Drosophila melanogaster: one gene and its partners. The protein of the gene in region 1 interacts with the protein of each later gene in a pairwise test. Each region holds a gene or a part of one and is shown on either strand. Other genes may lie near its edges. The genes, in order: CG13474, CG5103 and La.

Evidence for each region.
Region 2: the proteins of CG13474 (region 1) and CG5103 interact in a two-hybrid assay, tested with the Drosophila melanogaster proteins (one large-scale study listed by BioGRID).
Region 3: the proteins of CG13474 (region 1) and La interact in a two-hybrid assay, tested with the Drosophila melanogaster proteins (one large-scale study listed by BioGRID).

What each region holds. Positions count from the first base shown.
Region 1 is NT_037436.4:14,696,051-14,698,909, forward strand, and holds CG13474 (uncharacterized protein), read right to left. Parts: upstream 1,056-2,859; 5' UTR 1,051-1,055; coding exon 604-1,050; 3' UTR 501-603; downstream 1-500. Other genes in the region: CG17177 (uncharacterized protein), read right to left, coding at 1,263-2,859.
Region 2 is NT_037436.4:18,287,061-18,298,930, forward strand, and holds CG5103 (uncharacterized protein), read right to left. Parts: upstream 7,203-11,870; 5' UTR 7,169-7,202; coding exon 6,350-7,168; intron 6,286-6,349; coding exon 5,233-6,285; 3' UTR 5,065-5,232; downstream 1-5,064. Other genes in the region: CG13700 (uncharacterized protein), read right to left, coding at 11,771-11,784, 11,835-11,870.
Region 3 is NT_033779.5:20,344,943-20,356,147, forward strand, and holds La (La autoantigen-like), read right to left. Parts: upstream 5,071-11,205; 5' UTR 4,983-5,070; coding exon 4,008-4,982; intron 3,937-4,007; coding exon 3,739-3,936; 3' UTR 3,451-3,738; downstream 1-3,450. Other genes in the region: spir (spire), read left to right, coding at 231-317, 583-728, 964-1,302, 1,366-1,569, 1,636-1,949, 2,008-2,227; RtGEF (Rho-type guanine nucleotide exchange factor), read left to right, coding at 10,468-10,805, 10,864-11,064, 11,143-11,205. UniProt on the Drosophila melanogaster protein: May be involved in transcription termination by RNA polymerase III. Binds RNA and DNA. Binds to precursors of RNA polymerase III transcripts. May play a specialized role during fly development.

The DNA of each region.
Region 1 (2,859 bases):
GTTTATATGAATGTATTGGCGAGCGGACTAACGAATATTGCATATTATTTACTACATGGCGAGTCTAATATACCCGTTCACGAGTAACAGGTATACGAAATAAAATAATGCTCACAAATATATTACCAAGTACAAACACAGAGCCAAGTTGGCAAAGCGTTATGGAAAAGTTTCCTCTGGTCCTGGGCCACTTTTGCATTACATTATCTCAAGTTTTGCGCTGGCAATTTCTCATGTTTTCCCCCAACATATTCTCTCGCATGTCCGTATTTGTATTTACCCATTGTCGTGCTCATAAACATGCAGCTGACTTGTTACTGTCCCACCAACATCGACGTCATCATCGTCGTCGTGCTTAACGTCAGGCGCAACTTGTGTCGCAAGAAAAACTGAGGCTCTGATAAAAAACTTTGCCTCATTTTCATGTCAGGCCAAATGAGTTTTGGAAAGTTCATCCCTGCACCACTTTTTTTCGCTGAAAGTCATCGGGCAACTCGACTAATGGTGACAGTAATTTTTAATAAAACCTGCCAAGTGTCGACACAATTTGCAGTTTACACACGCGCGCAAGTTTGATGGAATAGTTGGAGGAAATTTGCATTCCTAGTGCCTGCACCGCTTCCCCTTGGTATCCTGCGAGTTCATAAAAATGCGATGTGAAATCTTATTTTGACGATCAGCACAGTCAACGATCCTTAGAAAATGGGTAAAGGTACCCTCGAAGAACCGCTTCAGCTTGATAAACTTATAGCGCACATCGACGTAAGATTCATCCAACTCCTGGGCACTTCTGGCTCCGTAGAGTTGGCTTAGCATGTCCAGCTCGGAGTCACAACTTCCTATAGACGACCCATCCAAGTCCGTGGACTCGCTATTGCTCAGTTGAAAATCCTCAGCGAATGGATCCATGGATATGATGTAGCGTCCGGGAGCATTGTACTTCTCGATCATGGCCCCTACGATATTCAGACACTCGTTCAGATCCTCCTCCATGGAGCTACAGATGTCAAGGGCATCGTCGATTTTTGTAAATTCCGCTTGTAGTAGCATGATTTATATTTAACTCAGTACAGCTCTGACAAAAGAATCAGAAAGCCCGATATCTTAAAATCATTTTTGTAGTAAGTTTTTATTAATTAAATTTATTCAACATAATTTTTAAAACATTATTTTAAAAAAAAAATAAAAAAAATTGGCTATTTGAATTGCTTTATTCAACAATATCGTCTTATACATCATAGATCAGAAATAGATGTAGAACACTATTTGTTTATCTTTACAATTCGTTCCATGTCTTCCACTTGGTCCATAAGATCGTTCATCATGTTAATTTTCAAACACTTTTTTGAACAATGAAGCATTTCATTTGTTTGCTTGATTTGATTCTCTGTCTGATCCTTGATCCGCATATCTAGTTCCTTGTGTTCAAGGGTACTTGTTTTAGCTTTATCTAGATTCTGAATTACTTCTTTATTGAATGTATCGAGATGTTTAACAGCGTCCATTTTGCTTTGCTTCTTTAAAGCTAAGTCCTTTAACTTTCCCTCAATGTCCTGTCTAAGCTCATATAGCTCCTTTTTTAAACCATCCATCTCATCAGGAGAGTATAGTGAAGTTTGAATTTTATTATTATCTTTCAATAAGTCATCTTGTCGTTCTTTTAGAATGCTCAAGGTCAAACTAGCTTTTATAAGATCTTTTTTAAGTTTTCTTGCCTGCTCCTGAAGTTTTTTATTATCATCGTCATCATGGTTATGGCCCAAATTTCTTAAGGACTTATCTATGCCCTCTTTTATAGAATTAAGTTGATTTGAGTTGGCTTTTAGATGATCATTGTAAGTTTGGTTCATTTTATTAATCATATTTTCTAGTTTTCCCATATGCACGATAAGGTCGTCGATTTTTTTACAGCATTTCGGGAATTTATTTAGTTCTTTACGCAAGATTCCTATTTCCTTTTCCAGCTCCGCAATACTGTTCTGTAGCTTTTCGTTAGATGAACAAGTTTTAATAATCAAAGACTTAGAATTTTTGGAGTCTGTGGGCGATCCCTCAAAACAATCTTTAGAATTTTGCTTAAGCAAATACCCCATTTTAGATTGGATATTGGTTAGCATTTCATTATTTTCCTGGCATGTGTTAAGGGTTACATTTAAATTTATTGAGGGTTTATGAATGTCCAAGACGCCTAACTTTTTGAAAAGCGTTTCGGCGAGTTTCTCTAAGGTTTCTGCATTTTTTTCCAAGTCAAGAAAAATAGTTGTATCCATTGGAACATTTTGATGTATGTAGCTTTGATTGCAGATACCAAGAATATTTTTAATATTTTCAAAGCGGTGACTTAAAGTTGTCTTTATGTCTTTTGTCTTTTCTACATTTTCCTGTATTTTATCTTTCAGTTCTTTTAGCTGATTTTCTATCTTTAGAGACTGGTTATATCCATTGCTTTTGATTATCGATAATTTATTTTCCAATGACTGAAACGATTCTTTTAGGCCATCACAACATTTCGAATTTGCTTGACTATCACGAAAATATTTTTGTAGCTTCTGAAAAAGTGGTCTTATTTCTTCAACTTGTTTTTCTATGTAGCCTAGATTCTTTTGAATAGAGTGACTTTCATTTAATTTTTCAGATTCTGTCTCATTTAATTTATTTGGCAGATTCTTGATTTTTAAATGTAGATCCTTTTTATAATGTTCTATTAATTTAGTGAAGTTTTCACAGCAGCTTTTGATGCCCTTAGAAACGAACTTTTTAATTTGGGGTAAAACATTTTCCACGTCCTTTTCCAGATCTCCGCTGATTTTCAGCTTTTCTACTTGACTTTCACTTATTTCATTTATCCTATTGACCTTT
Region 2 (11,870 bases), 3.6 Mb from region 1:
AATTGAAAATATTTTTCTATCCTTATTCAAGAACTATAATAATATTATATAGTGATCATTTTGCGCCCTATTTTTATACTATTTGTAAAATACTAAAATACGTTTTTAGTTAACTTTTCTTATTGACAAATTGCTTTTATCCCACACATGTATTTCCCAGAAATTCAGCAATTAATCAAATTTGCCACACTTCCTTCGGTTTTACTTTAAGCCAAAAACTCATTCGAGCGTAAGACGTCCGACTGTCAGTTGATCAAAATGCATTAGAAGCGAAGAAATGAGGAAAAACTAATTAAGAACATTTTCACCCAGCCAACCCACAACAATCCTTTGGTTTCTCCTCGTGGCTAATCACAAAAACGTGACGTCATTCGCCACGCCTTTATTATGATTTTTATTAATGATTCATGCATGCCATTATGCGAGTATATACATATATTTATTTATCCCAATTTGTCGGAGAGACGACAAAGTGCGAAAGTAGCCGTGAACTGGGTTTCAGTGTTTTAATCCGCGCGTTTAATTGAAATTGGCTGCTAAGCAGAAGCCCCGAAGGTCTAATGCGGGTTCCAGAAGTCAAAGTGGTGGGTTAATGCCAACAAGACCTTTGGGCCTCGTCAAATCTTATAGATATTAATGATGTTTGGACACACAACCGAATTACGAAACAATTAATTATTTGATTTATCCCCTCAATTCTTTATTTTGTCTTCTTTTCGCATGACTTTGCGCTCGGAATGTCTAATTTGCGGCTTGATGGGGTTAGTCTGAACCAAACTGTTTCTTCACCCGCATTATTCGTTGCTTTTTTTCATATATCTATATCTTCGTAATAATTATGCATTTTTAGAGTCAAGAAGCGTTAATCTTTTAAGTTATAACAGCGAAAGTTAATGGTACTTTTTCGCAAGAATTTGAATATATTTAAGAAAGAAATATCGTTCGTAAGCTTTGTTTTTTGTTTTTAAGGTACAAGTAAACAACTTAATAACCCATACTATCTCGCCAGACTGAAAATGAGTTTTATCTTTAGTCAATAAAAAATTTGAATGCTATCAAATATGTGAAATTTTTTACGTGACTTGCCAACTTTTCCAATAGGAGATTGCAACCCCAATAATGAAGATATTTCTATGCTTTCTATAGTGTTTTTTATTACCCGCTGCGTTTGCCCCCATAACTCAGGATTTATCTGGGGAAAACAATCTGCGACAATAATTCTTAGGCCTGACATAATGTACCTCAAATGTTTTATTCGTGTTTATCGGCGGCAATTTTTCCACGTCTGCCGCGGCAGCACTTTCGGCCAAACTTTGTTTTTCGTTTTGATTTTCTTTCTTTTTAGCAATTGCCGAAATATGGCATAATATTAGAGCCCACTTATTGACTTAATGGGCATCTTGATAGGAGGCAAATAAGAAATATTTGATATATGGGCCAAACATCACAGCGTGTTGGTGTTTTTTTTTTTGGAATGAAAGACTTGTTCTAAGTTTCGGGGTTGTTGGCAGTTCGAAATCCAAAAATTGAAAGTGCGGAAAAAGATTTTCGCTACTGTGACATTCACAAGATCATTAATAAGGATATCTGTTCTTACGGATCCGTTTTGTATTCACTTATTGCGCTGCAAGGAAACTCCGTTCTCATGGTTGGCGGCAATGCAAATATTTATATAAGACAAAACTTTTGTTGCCATTTCGCTGGGCTGTCTGGGCGAACAAAAGGGTTAATGAGTTCAAGCAGCTACTTAGACGACCTGATTAATGATCGGCAGCTAGCTGCCAACACATGCATGGCCAATACAACAGAAACGGAGGAGCACTTTGCATAAGATCATTAATTAAATCACATACACACACAAAGGATATGCCAAAGAGAGCGAAAAAATATGCTAATTTCCAGGCAAACGAGAATAAAAATGTAAATCCCGAATAGAAAAATTCACGTAATTTCCAATTATAAATTCATCGAAATGACATTTAGGCCTGGGAGAGGAGATCTCTCACCTTGTCTTGACTCGACTCAACACCCCATCATCAGTCACCTCACCTCAGCCTTGTCATAGGAATTAATGATTCTATCCCCTAAAAGCACCCAAAGGGTTACACAGCCAGCAACGCTTAAAAAAAATCATAGTTAAATATAATAAATGTTTGTTTTTACTCGGCTCTATGCAAATGCTCGGCTCACACTCAATTAACTTTGTTGTCAATCAAATGCAAATATTGTGGTTCCTTGGAAAAACCTTCATCCATTGGCAATTGCAATTTGTTTGGCTTTTTTTTATGCTGCCCCGTCGCTGTTGTGGCTCATTAGAATTGCTCAGTTATTCCATCAATATGCATTTGTTGTTAATCGAATTTTCGTAGCCACCGTTCTTTGCATACCTAAGTGGTTTTTTTTTTGGATTTCACTGACGGTTGTGTGAAAGTCAAAATAAAGAAAGGAGTTTGGCAAATGTTTGTAAATTTCCCTGGGAAAGTTTGGTTAGCGTGACGCCCTCTAAATGTGTGTCTTCAAGGAATTGCCGTATGTATAAGTATTTTATGTTTGAATCACATATTCATAGAATGCATCCGAAAGTTTATGTAAATCCAGCTTAAGTCATTTAGCACCATTTTAAAATGCAAGCAACCATTTTGTTATTTAAATGAAAGAAATGTGAAATTTATATTAACAATTTTACTAGACCTAAAATAGTCTCTAGGTATCTGTCTAACTTAGTTCTAAAAACAAAATACATGTTTGCACAATAATTATTCGGATTAATTATTAGTTTCCAAACTGTTTTACATTCACTAATGCTTTATACCAAGGCCGAAATTCAAAAAATAAGTCTACTTTTTCGACATTCAAATTCCTTCACTTAAAACCTTTAAATAACCAATTCACAAAATTGTTAGACAAGGCTTTAACATACTCCTCTCACATCTTGTGCATAATAGCCTTTCACTCAATTCCTCCACTACCGCGAACTCATACCCTCTAATTCGCTTCAACCAGAATGATCAATCAAAATCTGAATTTTAATGTTATGCGGTGCATGAAACCCTAACAACAGGAACAAGAATAACCATATCCTGCGAGTGAGTAACAACAGCCAAGGAAAAAGGAAAACAAAAGTGTAAAAGAATTTCCATTGCGACACAGGGGTGCGCTCTTTTGGCATTTTTCTAACCCCTTTTTCCAGCCGGTGAAAGGCAAAATATTTGGAAAATTAAAAAAAAAAGACAGAGGAGAAAGCAGAAGAGAGTAAAGTGAAAGGGGGACTGACTGGTAACCAGTAGCTGCCACAGGAAAATAGTAAAAATTGTAAAAATCCTATTAAGCGTTTCCGGGCGAAACTCCTGCTCGGTGTTTGCTTTTGACACTTCTCTTTTTATACCTCATAGTTCACAGATATTTGGGTATATATGTTTTAAACTTCATAGTTCAACAATCGCGGATTTTTGTAATAATAACTATTGAAATGTGTTATTTTTTCCCCTATATTGCTATTTTGACTGAATTTTGTATAAAATTTTATTATTATTTTTCTAATTTGTCCAATGTTTTTTTTTAAAGGGTAGCTCACTGTTGAAGCCTCTCTTTTTTTTACTGACTTCGTTCTATTTGAATATTGGGGATTGTTGTATTTTCTGGCGGGGGCGCTTGGCTTAAATGTCTAATTTAAATGCATGTGCTTTTAACAGTTGCAGACAGAGATTGATGATTGTTTTTGGGCTCTTTTTTCACCGCAGATAATTGCTTACAAATTTTGCGGCACAGATTTTCCTCATTAAATGATATATGTTTGTGTGGCGGTGGGGGACATTTTCAAGCAGGTGCAGTCGTTCCCTCATAAATCTACCCCAAAATCACACATCCAACTCCTACACATGTGTGGCGGGAACAATGGGCACTCCACATATGATGTCATCTAATCTATTTTCATTTTGTTGAATTTATGATCTCTAACCAATCTAGTTAGCCATGCTCACTTAACAAAAATTGAAAAACTTCTCCGCTATCTGTGCGTCCATTGTGTATTTGAGGTGTATAGAATTTTTAAAGCATTTATCGTAAATTTTGATCGAATCGGAAGGGATACTTTGTCCACTTGGCCAACCCTTAACCACACACAGAGGCACATCCTGTTGTCCTTTTGAACCAAACCATCAAACAATATAGAGTACTGATTAGGAAGCGAAAAACAATAAATGGACCTCTGATGCCTCAGAGGCAAATGAATAAATGGATGAATGCCACATTAGACGGCAACGGATGTCATTACGGATAATTTAAAGTGGCCTTTGGTCAGGCGAGATAGAACTAAAAGAAACGGGAGTGATTCGACCACGAGATACCCTTGTTTTTTTACAAAATATTTTTGTTTCATTATTAATATAAGGCTCCTATTATATATACTTGTATTTATCTTTTAGTTATACATATATAAACAGAAAAAGTTGTCAGTTAAGCTTATAACTAGAGGAACATATATTAAATAAATTTTTTTATAGTTTTGTAATTAATTTTAAAATTTCTCCTGTTCCTTAGGGGTAATTCCCTGTTCAAATAGTGTCAACTATTTGCCTGATAATACAGTCAAACCGTATCGAAAACTAAATCAACAATAGGAAGAGGAGGCTATCGATTGGATGCGCCCCTGCGAAAAGGTCACTGCAAATAAATATGTCAAAATCGAAAAGTACCGCCAACGCAGTAAATGATCCTCTGTGTTAAGTTCCTGAAATTAATTCCGCCCAATTGATTTTTGGCAAATGCAATTTTTCTTTGAACTTCAGTAGCATGTAGTGCATTTCACGTTGCACGGTTATTAGTTCAGGTAGAGCGATATATAATACCGCAGCTGAAGAGCACGTATCAATGAAAAAGGGACAGGTCACATTTAAAAAAGGGTTGATTTCTTATTAAGGGAATATTTGATTTATTAAGAAGTGGAGTGGTTCATATTTCGGTCCAAAAACAAAGTACTTTGAATACAATAAAGATCATTTAATTCTCATAAAAAAATAAATACAGGTGACTAAAATGTCCAACAATGCGATAATAGTTTTTTTTATTAACTTCTTGCTAATTTTTTATTCAATTTGCATGATAACCAAAATATAAATATAGTTACAGTTATAATTTGTGTTGAGAGAGATATTTAAAAGTTTTGATTACGGAAAGTACTTGAAATTATAAAGTTACACTTCTTAATTTTTTCGATTTTTTCGAACATTCTGCTCACTTCTTCATGATGGCCAGGCTTGCTTTGTATATATTTCTGGAGGAGACCCCAAACATGTCCAGCAGAACAGCAGGAGGGCCTGATCTCGGTACAGTGGTAATATAGAGATGCTTGACCACAAAGTTTCGATAGTCGGCCAGAGCACTGAGGACCGCCTCGCCCAATCCGCCTTGCTGGTAATGATCCTCCACCACGACGATTCTTCCACGACACAGCTTTCCATGCTTCACGATTAGTCCGACATCGAGGGGCTTCACTGTAAAGGGGTCGATCACTCGTGCCGTAATGCAATCCTCCTCCAATCTCTCCGCTGCGGCCAGGCACTCGTACAATGTGACGCCGGCTCCAATCAGGAGCACTTCATCCGAGGGCTTCTGGCGCACCACTTTGCCCAGTCCCACGGCAAACACCTCGTCATTGTTGTAGATCACCGTTGTGCTCGGATACGTTGTGCGGATGTAGCACACGCCCTTAGTATTGGCAGCCAGTTCCACCGCCCTCTCCGTGCTAACTGCGTCCGTGGGATAGAAGACCGTGCTCCCGGGAATGCTCCTGAACATGGCCATGTCCTCCAGTCCCATTTGGGAGGGACCATCCTCGCCGATGCTGCAGCCACAGTGGGAGCCCGCAAAGTTAACATTCGTGTGCGAAATTGCGCCCATGCGGATCTGATCAAAGGCCCGTGTGAAAAAGGTCGCATACGTCGAAACGAAGGCCACAGTGCGACGTCGACAGGTGGCTCCCACGGCCACGCCCACCAGATTCTGCTGTGCGGTGAAGCACTCGATGAAACGCTCTGGAAATGCATTCCTCATCTTGTCCGCATACGTCGAGTTCTTTGTATCGCCATCAAGGGCAATTACCCGAGGATTATCAGCCGCGATTTTGGCCAAGGCGGTTCCGTAGGCTAAGCGTGGGGCTACCGAATCTCCCAGCCGATAATTGGGCGGACTGCACAGCATTATATTGTTAATATGCACCTCGGGGGCGTGGCCGCACTTTCCCACCTTTTTGGGTGTCAGGCGGACGTTGGGATTTGCGATTTTCATCTGAGGAAACACATGATACCATTAACCATACCGTTAATGCAATTAATTGGTCTTTCAATCATACCTGCAAATGCTTGATTGCAGATTCGGCCCTCTTACCCAGTGGCTGTGCATGCATTTCTTCGATTCCTTCGATGCCCAGAAAGTCCTTTCCCTTAGTCGTCCTGGCTAAAAGAGCCGTGGGCTTACCCTTGGTGCTGGCCGCATTAATGAAGGCCTTGGCCAGCTCATCAATATCGTGGCCATTTAAGACTAGGGCATTGAACCCGAAGGCGTCCAACCTCTCCCGATAAACCTCCATTTCAGTGCCTATGTCCGAGCAGAAGATCTTGTTCATATCGAAGATTACGCACAGGTTGTCCAGGCAGTAGTGGCCGGCAAAGTGGAGCGATTCCCAGACTGCTCCTTCGGTAGCCTCGCCATCGCCCACGATCACATATGTACGATAGTCGGCCTTGTCCAGGTGTTTGCCCACATAGGCCATTCCAGCGGCCACTGAGATGCCCTGTCCCAGGGATCCGGTGCTCACATCGACGAAACTCAGCCGTGGAGTGGGATGACCCTCTAGATCACTGTCCACCTTGCGCAAATTTCGCAGCTCCTCCACCGGGAAGAGTCCAGCCTCCGCCCAAACGGCGTACAGAATGGGTGCAGCGTGTCCCTTGGACAGAACCAATCGATCGCTGGAAGGATCGCGAGGATGCTTCAGATTTAGGCGCATCTGCTGAAAGAACAGCACCGTCATTATCTCGGCCAACGAGGCACAGGACGTCGGATGTCCCGACTTGGCCGCCTGTGTCGAGGTGATCGAGTGGATCCGCAGCTTTTGGGCCACGTCCTTCAGGTTCTGAACGACCTTACTGTCCAGCTTAGCGTTCGACATTTTCACAACCAAATTTTGATTAATTTTGAGAAACTAATCAAAGACAGACTGTTGTGCTGTAATTTTTACCACATTTCAAATTTCCCTTCGATTGGCGTAAAAATTATATAATGTATTTATATAAGTTATAAGTTTTATTTTAACAAATTGGTAGAAGAATTTTGAAATGTTTAGTCCTTTTTTCTTCCAATTCCCACGTGTAAAATGCATGGATGGCTTTTTGATTTGATTTTGTTTTTTTTTAGTAATTGTACATTTTCAGCAAATTGAAAGCATCAAAACAGCATTCCCACACGAATCACTCAAACATCCAAGTAAGGTCATTACAAATCAAAAGTCGTAAATATTTTGACGGCAGAAACTCAAAACAGTAAAAAGTTTCATTCAGTGAAGGTTATATAAAAAAATGCAGTGTGAATTTACGGTGAAAAATTGCAGTTCTCACAGCGAGAAAACGCATAAGTAAACATAGAGTGCAGGACCAACCCTCTGGACCGATAAATGCCCATCAATGAGCCAAGAGGTGCAGTTTTGAAAACAGTTTAAATTTGATTTGGGTGCGAATCGGAATTGCACGAGGGTTGCATTGGATTCTAACCCTTTCCCCGGATCATCGAAGCGTTCCGTCTGTCCGAGCGCTAAATAAATCATTTCTCTTCGATTAATTCGCTTGCTGACATGTGCACACTCACATGTCCCGACTGAAGGGTTTACTTTGAATTTAAAAAAAAAGGGGTTTACACATGGTTTCGGCTAAGCGACCGCTACTCATGTCAAATTTTGGCTTTTGCTCTCCTTTGTAGTGGCATGGAAAATTGTCCATGGCCGTGCAGTCATAAGTTATAAATTAGTTAAGTTTCTTTCGAGCACTTTAAAGTCAGCCGGAGGGTTGCTTAAAAAAAGGGGTTCCCTCCACACCACACCCTTTCCCTTTTCCACGTCATTGAGTTTGCTTCCTTATGTGTGTTTTTCAAAATTTTTAAGTGCATTGATTAATTTTTATTTTGATCGGTCCGAAATCAATATTGTTTGCAAATTTCCAGTAAATACCCAACCGAAGACACGGGCCCAGCAGTTGGTGTGTGTAATTTGTCGTCATTCGCAACGCCCAGCGATATTTCCCTGATGTTTGCCACTTAGCAAAGGGTTCAGTATCCATTGCTAATGTTTCGAGTATGAATTCAAGCGAATTTATGTAGTGGAAGTGCTTTAAGAGAGTTTCACCAGATGATAACCGTGGGAAATGGGGATTATAGCATTGACATCTGATTTGGAGATTTCAAGGGGCCTAATCAAAAATGCTATTAAAATAAGTGAGTAATTTATAAGAAAAATTTAAAGATGATATACAATATATTTCCTGATCAAGGCTCTGGAACACTTCGCTGAACCCTCCGCTTCGGTAGGCACATACATCGTTTTCAAAGAAGAAGCCTCTGAGGACTGCGAACCCTCCTTCTGGCTCCTTCTGGCTGCTCAGAATCCTCCTTCATCAAGATCTCGTTGTTTCCAGTAGCAAACCCAATACGCGTTCGTCTTTTCTGCCATTTCTGAATTCAGTTGAGCTATGGAGCGGGTTTCTCAGGCAAGTGAAGAAGCTCAACAGGTGCCAAGTAACCGAAAAACTACCTTAAAAATCCAAAAACGCAAAACATTTCAAGAATAATAAAATTCTTTCAAAAATAACCTGTACAATTTAATTTAAGTAACAGCACAAAAACCACCAAAATGTATTAACCATTGTATATAAATATAGATTTTAAGCTCACGTTATAAACTATACTTTCATCTCAAATAAGTAAAAAACAATATATTTTAGACTTAAGTCTTTTATATAATGGTAAACATTTTTGCCTGGTAATAGTGAAGTATCACATTTTATACGATTTATTTTAGGACTGATAAACAATTCAATTAACGATTGACTGCCATTCCCAATCGAGGATGTGAAGAGCATGAAAAATCGCATTCGGATTCGGAATAAATTTTCCCAGGCTAAGCAGGCACACTCGACTTTAATAGGACATTTGACTAAGTGGAAGCGATTGACCTATGTCCAAGCTCATTTATTGATTCCGTCCATTTGCATAGGATAGGACCTATCTAGGCTTCCCCTCCCTTTGATCTGATTGCGACGCGTGTCCTGTTCGGCGATGCAAATTGGTCACACCCTTCAGATGTCAAAAGAAATATCGACGGATAGACGACAAATCGATTTGCATGGCAGGGCAGTAATAATGAATTTTGCCCAGGGTGACATAATTGTGCGAGGACCAGCTTGACCAGCCTGCGTTCCATCATAACTCATAATAATGAAGTGCAAATGCCTATGTATGTGCGCTACCCTGGGTATAATCGGCTTTCAATTCTGAACAAAAGGACTCGGCCTCAGAAGTCACGTGCCTGCTGTTTAATCCGTGTCCTCTACTTTCCTTTCTTTTCCACGAGTGAAAGTCCTGCCGGCGAATTTGTTACGCTTTGATTTCTCCTTTTTTTTTCGACGTGATCCCTTTTCGCCCTTTTATTGTCTTGTCTGGACATTTGGTCGCTACCTACTTGAAGTAGAAGTCGTGCCCTTGATTAAATTATATGTGTTTATCCCCGGGCTAGAAGTGAGTCGCTCTCGTGGCGGAGATAATTCTATCTGTAGGTTTTTTTCCACCAACCGATTCGGATTGAGATGTAGGCTTGGAAAAGGGTTATATGAATTCCGAAAGTGGTGCATTACTATCTGGAGTCATTTCAATGCTCTATTGTGATTGCTGTTGCATTATTAAGTTATGATGGTTGTTACACGATTTCTAGGGTTTTCATACTAGAAGGACATTAAATCATGTATAAAGTCGCATTTTAATTACTTACGCTGAAGCCATTTCAATAACGATCGCTTAAGGCGGTAAATTGAAAGTAACACCACTATTTGCTCCAAAACTCCCAAGGAGACGCTTAAATATCGCCTAGACTCCCAACAGTTCGAGCACCGTTGGTGTCTAATGATTGGCCAACTACCAAAATAGGTGGCACTGATTTGATGGGAGCCCGGTGGTCTCCGTTTTCCACTTCTTCTACAGCTCCCTCCCCGCAAGTTCTGTCCCTATGTCCGTCTCTATTTTCAATTTCGTTAATGACCCAAAAGTGGCGTAAACCAATTTATACCGAGTCGGAGTCTCTCACACAAGACAAATAATAGCGCAGCAGGACATTGACAACAACACCCAGGCAATATATAGGAATGCACTGGGAAAATATCAGTCAGAAATTGTACGTATTCATTATTTTATTCTATGTTAAACTCTCATGTCATAAAATAACCCGAAAAAAATACTGGTAGAAGATGTTATTTTTATTTATATTTAAATGGAAGTGAGAACCAGATATTTAAAAATATTCATAATATTAATTTAGAAATTAGATTAACTTTATTTTTTCACTGTGGACATAAGTGAAGCAGATTGGTGGGTAGAATCGAAATGTAGAAACGAGACTGTCGACCGGTAATTGACTGCCGCTGATGGTCACTGGCCAAAACGCTGATAATGAAGCGCAATTGTGTTCAACTGATGGTCAGAAACAAATTTCATTTGAGGCAATTAATCATATTCGGGTACCGAAGGAGTTACAAACTCATGACTTCTCTGTTCTACTATTTTAAGGTGTTGCCTCGTAAGAATAAATCATTGGAAAATTCCTTCTTATCCGCGTTGTTTGTGGACCCTAGACAACCTCCTGTGGTTTTGTGGGTGTTGACACACGTTTTTTCGGCGGGAATAGTTTAGAAGCCCCTAACATTGAGTTGGGTCTATGAATCATGAGATTAATGAATAGTCAGTCAGCCGTAAATGTCAATCCGAGAATCTCAAGAAGTCTTTACTTAACTTCACTTTGCCTCGGTCTTTAACATCAAACAATTAACCAGAGCTTTCATTGTCGGCACTTTGATATTTGATTTGCCTCTTTTCCTGGACAAAGCAAGTGAATACAGTCACAGATACTCCTATCCCCTCTTAAACGAATGTGGTCGTTTGTGGCCATATTGCGTTTCACTTTCGCTCCACATACAGGCCTTTCGCATTTGGGGGCGTTGTTTGCCTGGCCCTTTTTCAGCTTGCCACATTTCCGACTTGGTTTTTGCACGAAACTGGGTCACTGATGTCGCCCGTTTGTTTGTCCAATGCGAGGGTTCCCTCACGGGTTAGTGTACTTTACTGCTAAAATCAATAGACCAGCTCACTGTAATTAGCTTTGACTTAAAGTGCATGCCATGCGAAGTTCAGGATCTGGGAAGGTGGAACATTCCTACTGTGAGTCATTACCATTGCTGGACTGCAAAAAAGTTCTATTGAGAAACTTGCTCGACAAAGTCTTCATCTTCAGCAGTCATAGTAATGAAACGTTTTAAGTAATGATCAATACCTTGTTCTTGAACTTATTTTAAGTTTTATTAACTTTTATTAACTCAACATTGTTTTCTAAGATTATAAATTGAAAAGGAAGTTGTTATATTTCTTTTTTTGGTTGCCTTTATTGTTTAAGAGTATTATAATATAATATATATAATTATTGTATCAATTCCACCATCTCACTCTCGGGGTTCCTTCCGATTCAGCCCTGTTGCACTGTTGATCGCGAATATTGTAAAAACATACAACAATTATTCGTTACAAACCTGGATTTCCACTACTTATATGACTAGCTTGCATTT
Region 3 (11,205 bases), on another chromosome or scaffold:
ATGTAGAAATAAAAGAAAGTCTACTGCAATTCGCCCCTAGTATTATTTATTATTATGGCACCCCGTAGCGGCTTTTAATTTTGGTACTAACTTAATTTTCTCGGCTGCCAATAATCGTATAAAAATAATGTATTTTTAACTTGACAAAAAATTACGCTTACAAACAAAATAAATATGTGAAAAACGAACAAAATTAACTGCTGCCCAATACGAAAATGAAACCCGATCAGTGGAGCCAGCAAAGCAGGTGCCGCCTCCAGAAGAGCCATCCTTCACGAAGGACGAGTACCACAAGTTCTACGACACGGCCCTGGAATGTAAATATTTGCTAAGAAACAGCACGTAAAACCGTAATGCATTGCCATCTTGCATGATTGTCCCCCCTATCGGATATCGAAATTGCATTTAGACGCTACACTAGTATATATCACGCTACTAAACAGACAGCTTGCTTTTGAAATACACATCTGACATTTAACATTTGCCGCTTTTCCCTGCGCCTTCACTGTCCTTCATGTATGAAAATAACTCATCCGCCCCGTTGACCCTGACTGAATGCGTTCTCCTCTCTTTAATTGACAGCCTACGACCTGGCCACTCAGTGCGAGTCGAGGAGGGCTTCCTTGCGCCGCCACACCATCGTTGGATGCCAGAGCAACCTGGACGAGACGCACTCAATGCCGCCCACGCGGCCCGAGTCGCGTCAATCGGACGACGTCAGCAAGGAGGTGAGTCCGCCAGCATAATGGTAATGATGATATCGAGGAAAGAGTGTGCCCTCTACTTTTGTATTATTGATTCGAGAATAATACATCTGTGGTGGGACTTCCATACTTTACAATATGCTGGACTCTTTCATTGTAGACCATTTCTCCATTCAAGCAAACGTTTTATTAGCAAATGAGAACAGTAAAGCTTAAACCCTATTCAAACTTTATTTCTATATCTACCAATCCGTTGCAGACGCCTAAGAGAAGTCCTGCGGAGCAGACCCATCCCTCAGACGAGGGCAGTTCAACATCCTCGCTTGGGCCATGGAACAAGTCCTTCATGGACAAACAGACGTGGATGGAACGGGGTGACGATCGGCTGTCCGTAACGCTGGCGGAGATCGTTCACATCCGTTCCGTCATGACCAAGGCGGAGCTGGAGGGCCTGCCGATGGACGTGCGCGTCAAGGAGGATGTTGAAAAGCGTCGCGTCTGCTTCCTGTGCCTGCGCACTCGGTTCTCGTTCTTCGGTCCCTGGGGCATTCAGTGCAAGTTGTGCCAGCGCACGGTCTGCGCCAAGTGCTATACCAAGGTAGGTACCGGGTTAATGGTTAACCATAGGGCTGCATATTTACTATTTTCGATTTCTTCCCAGATGCGAATTCCCTCGGAGCACTTCCGAAACGTGCCCCTCGTGCTGATCTCGCCATCGCTGCTGTCCAGTCCGGCCAGCTCGAGCACCCCATCACCCTCCCATCATGCCCAGCAGGCGCACTCATCCTCGACGGGGAACATCATGGACGACCAGTTCCCCAAGTCGTTGATAGAGCGTCTTTTGCGCTCCGAGTCAGATCGAAAGGTAGGCCTCCTAACAGCAGTCCGACCAGTAAACATGGAACTAATGAAATTGATACCTTTATTCCAGACTCGCAGCACTGTGGGCAGTGCCCCATCCTCACCCAAGCACCAAAGATCAAACATGAGCACGCCCGGCATTAGCGTGGGACCCGGAGCATCCTCCTCCTCAGCGGCCGCCACTGGACAGGCCGTGGAGGCACTGCACGACCAGGCGACCATGTCGTCCTCGTATTCCGCGGCCATGCGACCCTCTGGCGTCCACCAGCAGCAGAAGCAGCACTACAACAACGCCATGTCGAGGAGCATGGAGGGACCCCGAAGTCTGCCCGTGCACAGTCCAGCATATCGACCGCTCTCCAATAACAGCACCTTGGAGAGGAAGTGAGTTTTTTGTCTGGGTTGTGGTGCACCACATTTATTAACCGTAATTTATTCTCAGATCCCGCTTTTCGAGGGGATTCAACCTGTTCTCCTCGGGCAGCCATCTTGCCCAGACGCAGGAGCAAAAGGAGAACCTGCGCGGCGAGCAGGTGACCGTGTGCAACGACTGCCAGGGACTGGTCAACGAGATCACGAGCTCCGTGAAGCAGAAGCGCAGCTCCGCACGGAACCGCACCATTCAGAATCTCACCCTGGATCTGACGCCCGTCTGGAAGTAGGCGGGAATCAGATCAGAGATAGGATAACTCCGCAGTGCGTTTGAAGACCGTAGGATGGTTGCAATGGAGTTCTAACGACTGACTTGGCTCTACATCGCTATACATACTACCATTGACTACATGACACTGATGATGACTCATTGACAGACAACAGACGCTATTTGATTACTGACCACATTCCTTACCTGTGAGAATTTTCAGTTTCAGCGCGGCTGTTTTAGGGCCTTCAGAACGCACTTGCACATTTAGCTATTACATACATGCATAGATATGGATTAGATCGACTGTTGTACACTTAAAAGGATAGAGCCTCGAGGAGCCTCGTTTGTAAATCGTGTTAGTCTAGTGAATAAGCAGAGGAGAATACCGAGAATTCCTGGCTGAAGCTTTGTACATTTTCTGCCGGCTACAGAGAGATCCGCTTGAGCGCACCCCACCACTTTCTATTTATAAAGGAGCTAACTTACACGTCGCTACACATTATATTATCGCAGATCGCAACGCGATGCCGTTGTTTATAACTGTTCAAAGTATGCGTAAAAGTTGATTAAGTACATGTAATCATAACTCTTGTATCCGCATATATCAAATGCACATATATTCGACCTTACTTGTACCCTGCTCCTGCATTCGTTTCAGCACGAGCGACGTATTGATCATACAGAATACATCGATATTCGCAATACGATTCCCAGTTCAGAAAAAAAAAATTTCGATTGTTGAAATAGTTATCCGAAAATGTTGTGAAACTTTTGTGCTTGCGCAGATCTTTGTTTACGTTGTGAAGTTTTCGTTTTGTTCCCCTATTAACTACAATGTCAATGTATAACGCAAGAACTACTTGATAGCCTAATTTAATTTTAGTCGGCGTTGCTATGCAGCCCAAACTATTTAGTTAATTCGCTTAGTTTTAATTCTCCCTAAGTGCGTCTAAGTTGTAAGCGACGTCTATATAATTGTACAAGCTGATGATGCAAAGCAAACCCCTAACGAACATTATATTACCTAATTGTAGCTGCTATTATAGTTTTTCTAACCGTTTTTGAACAATTTTGTTTGATTTATCTGTAATTGTAAATGCATTTAAGTACTTGTAATATTAAATTTTATGCTTTTAAGTTAAATTCATTTACAATAATTTAATACACACACGAACACACAAAGAGATCGAAAATACACAAAACAGCAATAATAAATGAAAATACAAACTAAAGAACAAGATTCAGGTTTTACACACTGGTCTTTATTTGTAGCTTTCTGCTGAGGGAAACAATTGGATTCATAGTCTTCTATGTAAAATAAATTAGAGCCCACCTCGTTATTTAGGTAACAGACTATACATGCATATTTGAAGAATATTCTGTACCTGCAACGATTATTTTGAAAACTAAGAGAAAGCAAGTATTATATATGTAAGGCCTTAAAGCTAGGTCAACTAGATCTACCGAGTAACAATTAAGCTTGGTCTACTGCGATCAAAAGACTCGGGTGGCGGAATATAGGTGGATGAGTTAATCCCCACGCGCCTTCTTACCACCGCCATGTTTGTGGTCGTTTCCGCCGTGGCGCTTGCGATTGAAGCGCTTGCCCTTGTTCCTGGTGAAATCGCGTCGCTTCTTCATGAATTCTATGGCCTTGTCGATGAACTCCTTCTCCTCCTCCTCGGTGGCCTTTCGCAGCGACAGAGAGACCTCATCTTTGAACTTGAGCTGTGGATAGGCAAGTACAATTACGGATTAGCTGATAAGGGAAAAGTTATAATCCCAATTCTGATTCTTACCTTGCCTTCCTCCACCTTGGCAATGTACTTTTCGGCCGCATCGGCCTCCGTCAGCCGCACAGAGCCCTTGGTTTCGCCCTTGGCGAACTCAATGTAGGCCACCTCGAAGTCCTTGATCTTCTCGAAGGCTTCGCGAATTTCCTCGCGGCTAGATGTCTCCGGAGCGCCCTCGAAGACAACAATGGCGTTCTTGGGCAGCTCGAAGGCAGGCTCAGGCTTGGCCTCCTTTTTGTTTTTGCGCTTCTCGTTCTTCTGGGCGTATTCCTCCTGCTTCTCCTTAAGGTAGTCCACCTGCCATTTACGCAGCAGCTCGCGCTCCTTATAAACGATCTTCTCCTGTTCGAGGAAGGCCTTTGCCTGGTCCTTGGTCTCGAAAGTAAGGAAGATGCTGCCCTTGAACTTGTACGACTTGGTGGGCTTGTCATAGTGCTTGCGCATGGTCAGGTTGACCACTTTGTCGTAGTTGGCAGCAAAGTCGAGCAGTTCGCTAATCTGCGAATCTAGGGGGAAGCCCTTGGCGTATGCGGTCCGCTCCTGGATCTCCTTGCGCCGCTCTTCGTTGTGCTCTGGAATAGGACGCTCCGGATGGCGACGCAGGCTAAGTTTGTCTTCGCTAATCTCCACGAGGCCCTCCTCGGATTTGTTCAGGGCAGCCACGATCTCAGATAAGTCCGTGGACAGGGAGGCCAATCTCTTGAAGGTAACGAGCACCGACAGGGGCACCCAGCCGTCCTCGTTCTTGCCGATCTGCTCGCGCAGAAACTTGTCCCGATTCAGATTGGCATCGCCGAAGTAGTACTCTACCTGCCGGATTATGGCGCGCTCCTGTTTGGTGAAGCCGCCAGCGGCTTCCTCTGCTGCGGGAGCCGGGTCCTTCTTGGCGTCGCCGTTCTTCGCCTCCAGCACCTGCGCCTCGGCGGGCTGTGCTACCTCTTCCTGGGCTTCCACACTCGGGGTTTCAGCAACTTCGGCCATTTTAGCTGTGAAAATTTCGCAAAGAACTGAAATGTGCGCTCACTGAAACACGTGTGAAATCGGTAAAATGAGTCACGGCGTTTGACAACACTAGCCCCGAAATGCCGTGATAGAGATGCACAGGTCAAAAACCGTGACTAGCGCCAAGCATTAACTTGAAAATGCAGTGCGGACATCTTGACCAAAGACCCTAGAATTCTAGTGTCTTTGTCTTGACTATGTATTATTTAAAGGCTTTGAAAATATACGTTTGATTATTTAATTTTTGTAGTAGTGGTAATGGTAATATATCAACAAGAATTAAAAAAAAACCTTTACTCATTTACAATTACCGCGATATTCAAAAACAAGAACATACCAAACTAAAACTTATAATTCAAAATATATGTGACGAAAAGTGGTTTATATTATTTTTGAATGTGATTTATCAATTTACTCCAAAACTATCGATGCAAAGTTACGGAATGCTCCCCGATAGCCCTATCGATGCCGAGGACCTGTTGGCACGTACACATCTTTAGTTTGGCTGCGGCCGATTGCAGCCCTGGTTTTCTAGGTTTCTATTTTGGTCGAGCGCTGTGTTTTATTTATGTTTGCCATGGGAAAAGAGAGTTGCTAAAAGTGCCTAAATACGTGCACCTGGTTCACAAACGGGCGCTCCAACCAGTTGACCCCAGCCCCACGGAATCGGCATATGAGTAAACAAGTATTTGAAAAAAATAGTGAGAGCAGTTCAAATCGCGTCGGCCTAGAAAAGAAACCAAAAAATCGGGCAATAAATAGTGAAAAGTGTGCTCCTTTTGCTATATAACCAATTGTGTATATATAATAACAAGGGTGGATAAGTCGCGCAATCAACGAAACTTGGAAAACTAAACTATTAGTCACTATTCTATTATTGCTCAACGAACGACAGGGAACAACAACAAACGGATCAACAAATGTTTGATAAAACGCAACGCAGCTGAAGGTGAGCGAAAAACTAAAGTGGTTAAGAAAACCCTTCAGACAGCTTGGCTGCAATATATCTAGCCGTGGAAATGAATCAGGTTTTCCAATAACTGCTCGTCTGGCCAAAGGTTCAGTGGCATCTGAAAATTCACCCCACTATGCGTCATCCAAGTAGAGGCATCATAGACATCCCCACAACGGCAGACACAATCAAGCCTTCCTATAAGAACCGCCATGGGTTTTTACATACATATATGGCATATATAATAATAGAGCGGGTTTTCTTCCTTATTTCCCCTTGAGATTTTAATATACCCATACTGCTAAATTCTTCATCGATGAAGATATCTCTTACAAGAAGCATTTAGTTGACTGAATTATTGGTTTTTTTTTTTTTTTTTTTTTTTTTTTGTATTTCAACACTTTCTTTTAAGCAACATATTTATATAGAAAATCTAATACATTTTTAGACACATGACAAAATCCTATTTACGTTAAAAACAGTTTCAATCGTTTAGTCCCAACAAAGGACATTTAAAGCTTAAAGCTCAAGAATACATTTTATGTAATGACTCCTGTACTTTCGGCACAACTGTTGTTCAACTTGCTGCTGCTCGTGCAATAGTAATTTGTTGCCGGTTTCTGGAGTTCAGAGGTCCGCCTGCATAATCCATTGGGTCAATAGCAGGGCTCCTCGTGGGGCATCCGTTCCAGCTCCTCCCGAAAAGCGTTTGTTTGCTAGCACTCGCTGCGAAAGTAAAATGCACTGCCGGACGACGACGGAGGCACGTTCTGCCTGCCGCTGCCTGCCGCATGCCACCTGCCTCCCGGCCCCAAACTCCCCCATTGGATTCCCAGAACCAACAAGCATCATTACCCGAACAATTTTGAACCGCTGCCAAGAGAATTTCCTATGAAAGGTGGTGGCAAGCTGAATGCAAATTCATGCTTTTCTTTACTCTCACATGATCTTGGTTTCGGCCACCAGGTCAAAAGCAGTTTGCAAAATAAATAGCTACCCTAGAAAATATTATTTAAATCAAATTGAATTATTTCATGGTTTAAAAAGTTATATTTGTTTGTATATATTTATGTGGGGAATGTGAAAAAGTCTAGGGTAAGATCTCGTCGAACCACTTGGCTCTTTGCGCCCTATGGTTGTTATTCTTACGCTTTAATGAAAGCATGTTGGCAATATCTGTATGTGGGCCTGTGATTTCCCAAAACAAACATTGGCCGTCAAATCATGCGCCTGATTTTCACTCGTGTCTGCTGGGAAACCGCGTTTCTTCATATTTCCGCTGCTGACCTCGTTCTTGGTGTGTTGGTGTCGAGAACAGCGGATCCCCACAAGCTATTGGAACTCCCACTCGCTCACCTCTTCGGTGTGCCCACAGCCACCGATGACTTCCTCCGCCACGAAGTATCTATAAATACGGCGAGCGACGCAATCAAACTATATTACGTCCATATATCTGAGGAAATGCATCTCAAGTGGCGGCTGTGCAGCCTGTAAATCTCGGTATTGACACATTGAAGAGGCCTTATTGAGTGCAGTTCGGCTGAGCTAGTAGGGATAGCGATTCGGATCCGGTCCCGACCAGGCAGAACTGCATAAATTTGGTTTGTCTTTGGCTGACTTTGTTTGTCTTTGCCGCTGACTTTGCCAAGCAAAACAATCCACTCGCCTTTCTTTTACATCTCTCGTCTTTGTTGTTTACGTTCCCCAGTGTCCCACGAAAATAAACATTCGGTGATTTGATTTGGGGTGCTCCCCTCCGATGGATGCGACGTTTTACTCGCCAAATTGCGCATTTCCGGAAGCGGCAGGGATATTCATTTGAATTTCGCCTTCGGCGACGGATCGTTAATAACCGAAAGAGTTGTCTCTTATACTCAGAGAGCGTGGGCCCGGTGTATCTGTATCTGAAACTTGTATCTGTATCTGTATCTGGATATGGGGCCGCATAGCCGATCCGCGCGGCGCCATGTGCAAGTTTAATGAATTAATTAAAATTTGGTTCCGAGAGCTTCAATGGGGTATGTATGCATCTTTGTATGTGCCCACATATCTGCGTGTGTGCCGCTCGGTATCTGCATTTATGCATCTGCTCATCTGACCTCCGATGCATCGTTTGGAGCACCACCACCTACGGAAATTTGATTGTGCCCGGCCATGGACTTAAAGTGATTTCAGGGTTAAACGAAGCGAAGGAAAGTGACATACATTCGGCTTGGGTTTGGCGCTGCACTTATAAAGCATATTTTTTGCCGACATTCTGATCTCGGCAGATTTGAATACGAATATTCTGTGGAAAAAATATTTAGTTCTTGGTCACTCTAGCTCAAAAATTCTCCGTCGGTCTATAAGCTTCAACATCTTTATTCAGTAGAGTTTACAGTTCCAGCCTCCTTGTTTGTCTCAGAATGAAAGTCTTTGGGTTAAATTTGATTTATATTCTATCTTAAATTCTAAAAATATGACGAATTTAACATTTCCTGAGGCCATAATCCCATTAAAACCACAATGTGTGTCGCACGATTCTAAATTTTAGATTATACAAGTCTACACATTCCATAAACGTTTCCTATGATTCACGGGCATATATTGTATGATCAACAGGAAACTGAGCGGAACAGGTGAATTTTTCTGAAATAATTCTAAAATGCTTGAATATGAAGAAGTTTTCGATTGATGACTGAATCCACAAACATGGAAGATCTCACATCCAATAGGCAACCCACATATATTTTGGCACAAATATTTTTATGTGGTTTTTTTGAATAGACAATACAAAAGCACAGCGAGTGTCGCTTATTTCTCAATGAAATACAATTAAGATCCTCATTTTGGAAACGCAGATGAAAAGGTTGTCCCCGGATTCATATTTTTTGTCACATCTCTGTTGATTTTTCATGAAAATATGCGATGTGTCCGGTCGAAAACGCTCGCGTACATGTGAAAATATATTCGAATCTCCTGCGATCCGACGAGACTCTCAGAAAATGACTGCGAGAGTGGCACTTTCGGTTGCCGTGGAAAATTCGTCTGCCATATGTCGCCAGCTTTTCGGTATTTTCCGCTTTTCTCGGCAGTTTCGCTGAAGCAATGAACGCGTGCGGTGCATCGTCTGAGAGCAGAAAAACGGCGAAAAACGTCAAATTGTCGTACCACAATTTATTGTCGAAAAAGTATATATCACCCATCTATACAAAAGAGTAGCGGGTATATGTATTCGAGTGCCTAGATGGCGAAAAAGTGACATTTTAAGAAATTTTCATGCGTTTGTGCAACCAAAACGTGACCTTGCCTTAGGGAAATATTCTCATCAGCCTATAAATCTTGACAATCTCATGAGAGCGGTAATAATTCGTGAAAAACTACACGTTCCAGTTTGGCATATAGAACTTGCGATCCGCCAATATGTACACTTTCGTCTGTTTTTTATTTTTAGTATTCTAGAAAACTATTTGGGCAAAATAAACCAAGTTGTTCATATTTTTGCGTTTACTCATTGCGGCAATAGCAAACAAATGTGATGCATCTATTTTTAGAAAATATATCACTTTTTAACATTTTCAGTCCAGAATTGAATTTTTGCATAAACATAGGAATTCCTATATTAATAAAAGCACACGTCGCGCTGCCAATTTTAAATAGTACCAACGAATAGACTAGGCTAAAGACTTTTATAAACGACTTTAAAAATAATGACATCCACTAACTAGCCCCCTAGTGCCACTCATACAAGAGACCATTTCAATTAAGCTTTGGAATATTGGGGGTTTTTGTGAGTAACAATGTCGTAATATAATTTTCGAGGCATTCGAAAATATTGCGATTTTACTTCTTTCTATAGATATCTGATGTATAGAGTGCACTTGCCTTTAGAATCCAATGTGCCAATCCCATTTCCGTCAACGAAAGTGTTTAACGATTGAATGAAATGTTGATCTCTTAAAGAGTTGTTCGAACAAACCAAATAAAAAAGGTCGTAAATATTTTTAGACGCGACGTGGCCGTTGTTTATGATTTATATGTTGGCCTGTCCTGTCCGGCTATTCAAATTGTTTTTATGGCCCGAAAAGTTTTTCTTTCACAATACGCGCGAGTGATTTTTACCCAATTTTTTAATGGATCCTCGCAGCTTGTGTGACCTTGGCCATCGTGTAGCGCACGAGTTTTCCAGACACTTGCAGTAAACTAGGAAAGAAAAGCCGGAGGGGAGTCGCCGGAAAAGTGTCAAGAAACTTGCGCACGCGTTTCTCGACAGATGTTTTCAAAATGTTTTCTTCTTTGGGGCCATAATTATTGCTCGGCTAATTCCAAGAGGCTGAGGAATGCCGAGCGATCGACGATGATGTAGCTCATCGCTGCAATAATGCGTAGGTGCTGTATATAACGAGCGATATGCTCACATATGCTTTTTCATTGAGCAAATTGCCTGGCTGATGTTTCAAGTTCAATACCCATCGCCTCGTTTCAGTTGAATCAATCTAGTGCGCACTCGGATCAGCCCTGAACAATCCGATAATGGATCAGCCACTGGTGGTGCAGGCGGAGTACTCCTTCATGGGCAGCAATAACGACGAGCTGTGCTTCCAGAAGGGCGATGTCATCACGGTTACCCAGCGCGAGGATGGTGGCTGGTGGGAGGGAACGCTGAACGATAAGACTGGCTGGTTTCCCAGCAACTATGTGAATGAGTGCAAGGTGCAGCTGCCTCTAACGGAGACCATAAGGCCGCCGGAGGAGATCCAGGAGTATCGGTCTGTGGTGCTCAAGGATCTGCTTGACTCGGAGCGCGCCCATGTGGCCGAGCTGCAGGGTCTGCTCGAGAATTTCTTGGAGCCCATGCAACAGACGCAAATGTAAGTTCTCTATTCTCTGACATAATTTGAATATAATCTAAAAGGGCTTCTTCTACAGACTCAGTCAGGATGAGTACGCCCAGCTGATGTGTAACTTTGTAGAGATTGTGCGTACGCACGAGGATTTGCTTATCCAGATCGAGGAGTGCAACGATCGAGTGGGAAAACTATTTCTCACCAGCGCCCCCTTGATGAAGAAGGTGCACCAGGCGTACTGCGCTGCCCATCCAAAGGCCATTGTCATACTGGATAAGTACAAGTATGTGCTCCTCGCTTTATATACATATATTGTGGTGTTCAATTGTTAATAAATATAAATTTTTTTCTATTCCAAAAGGGACGAGCTGGAAAAGTATATGGAACGACAGGGCGCAGCCACTCCTGGATTACTTGTGCTCAC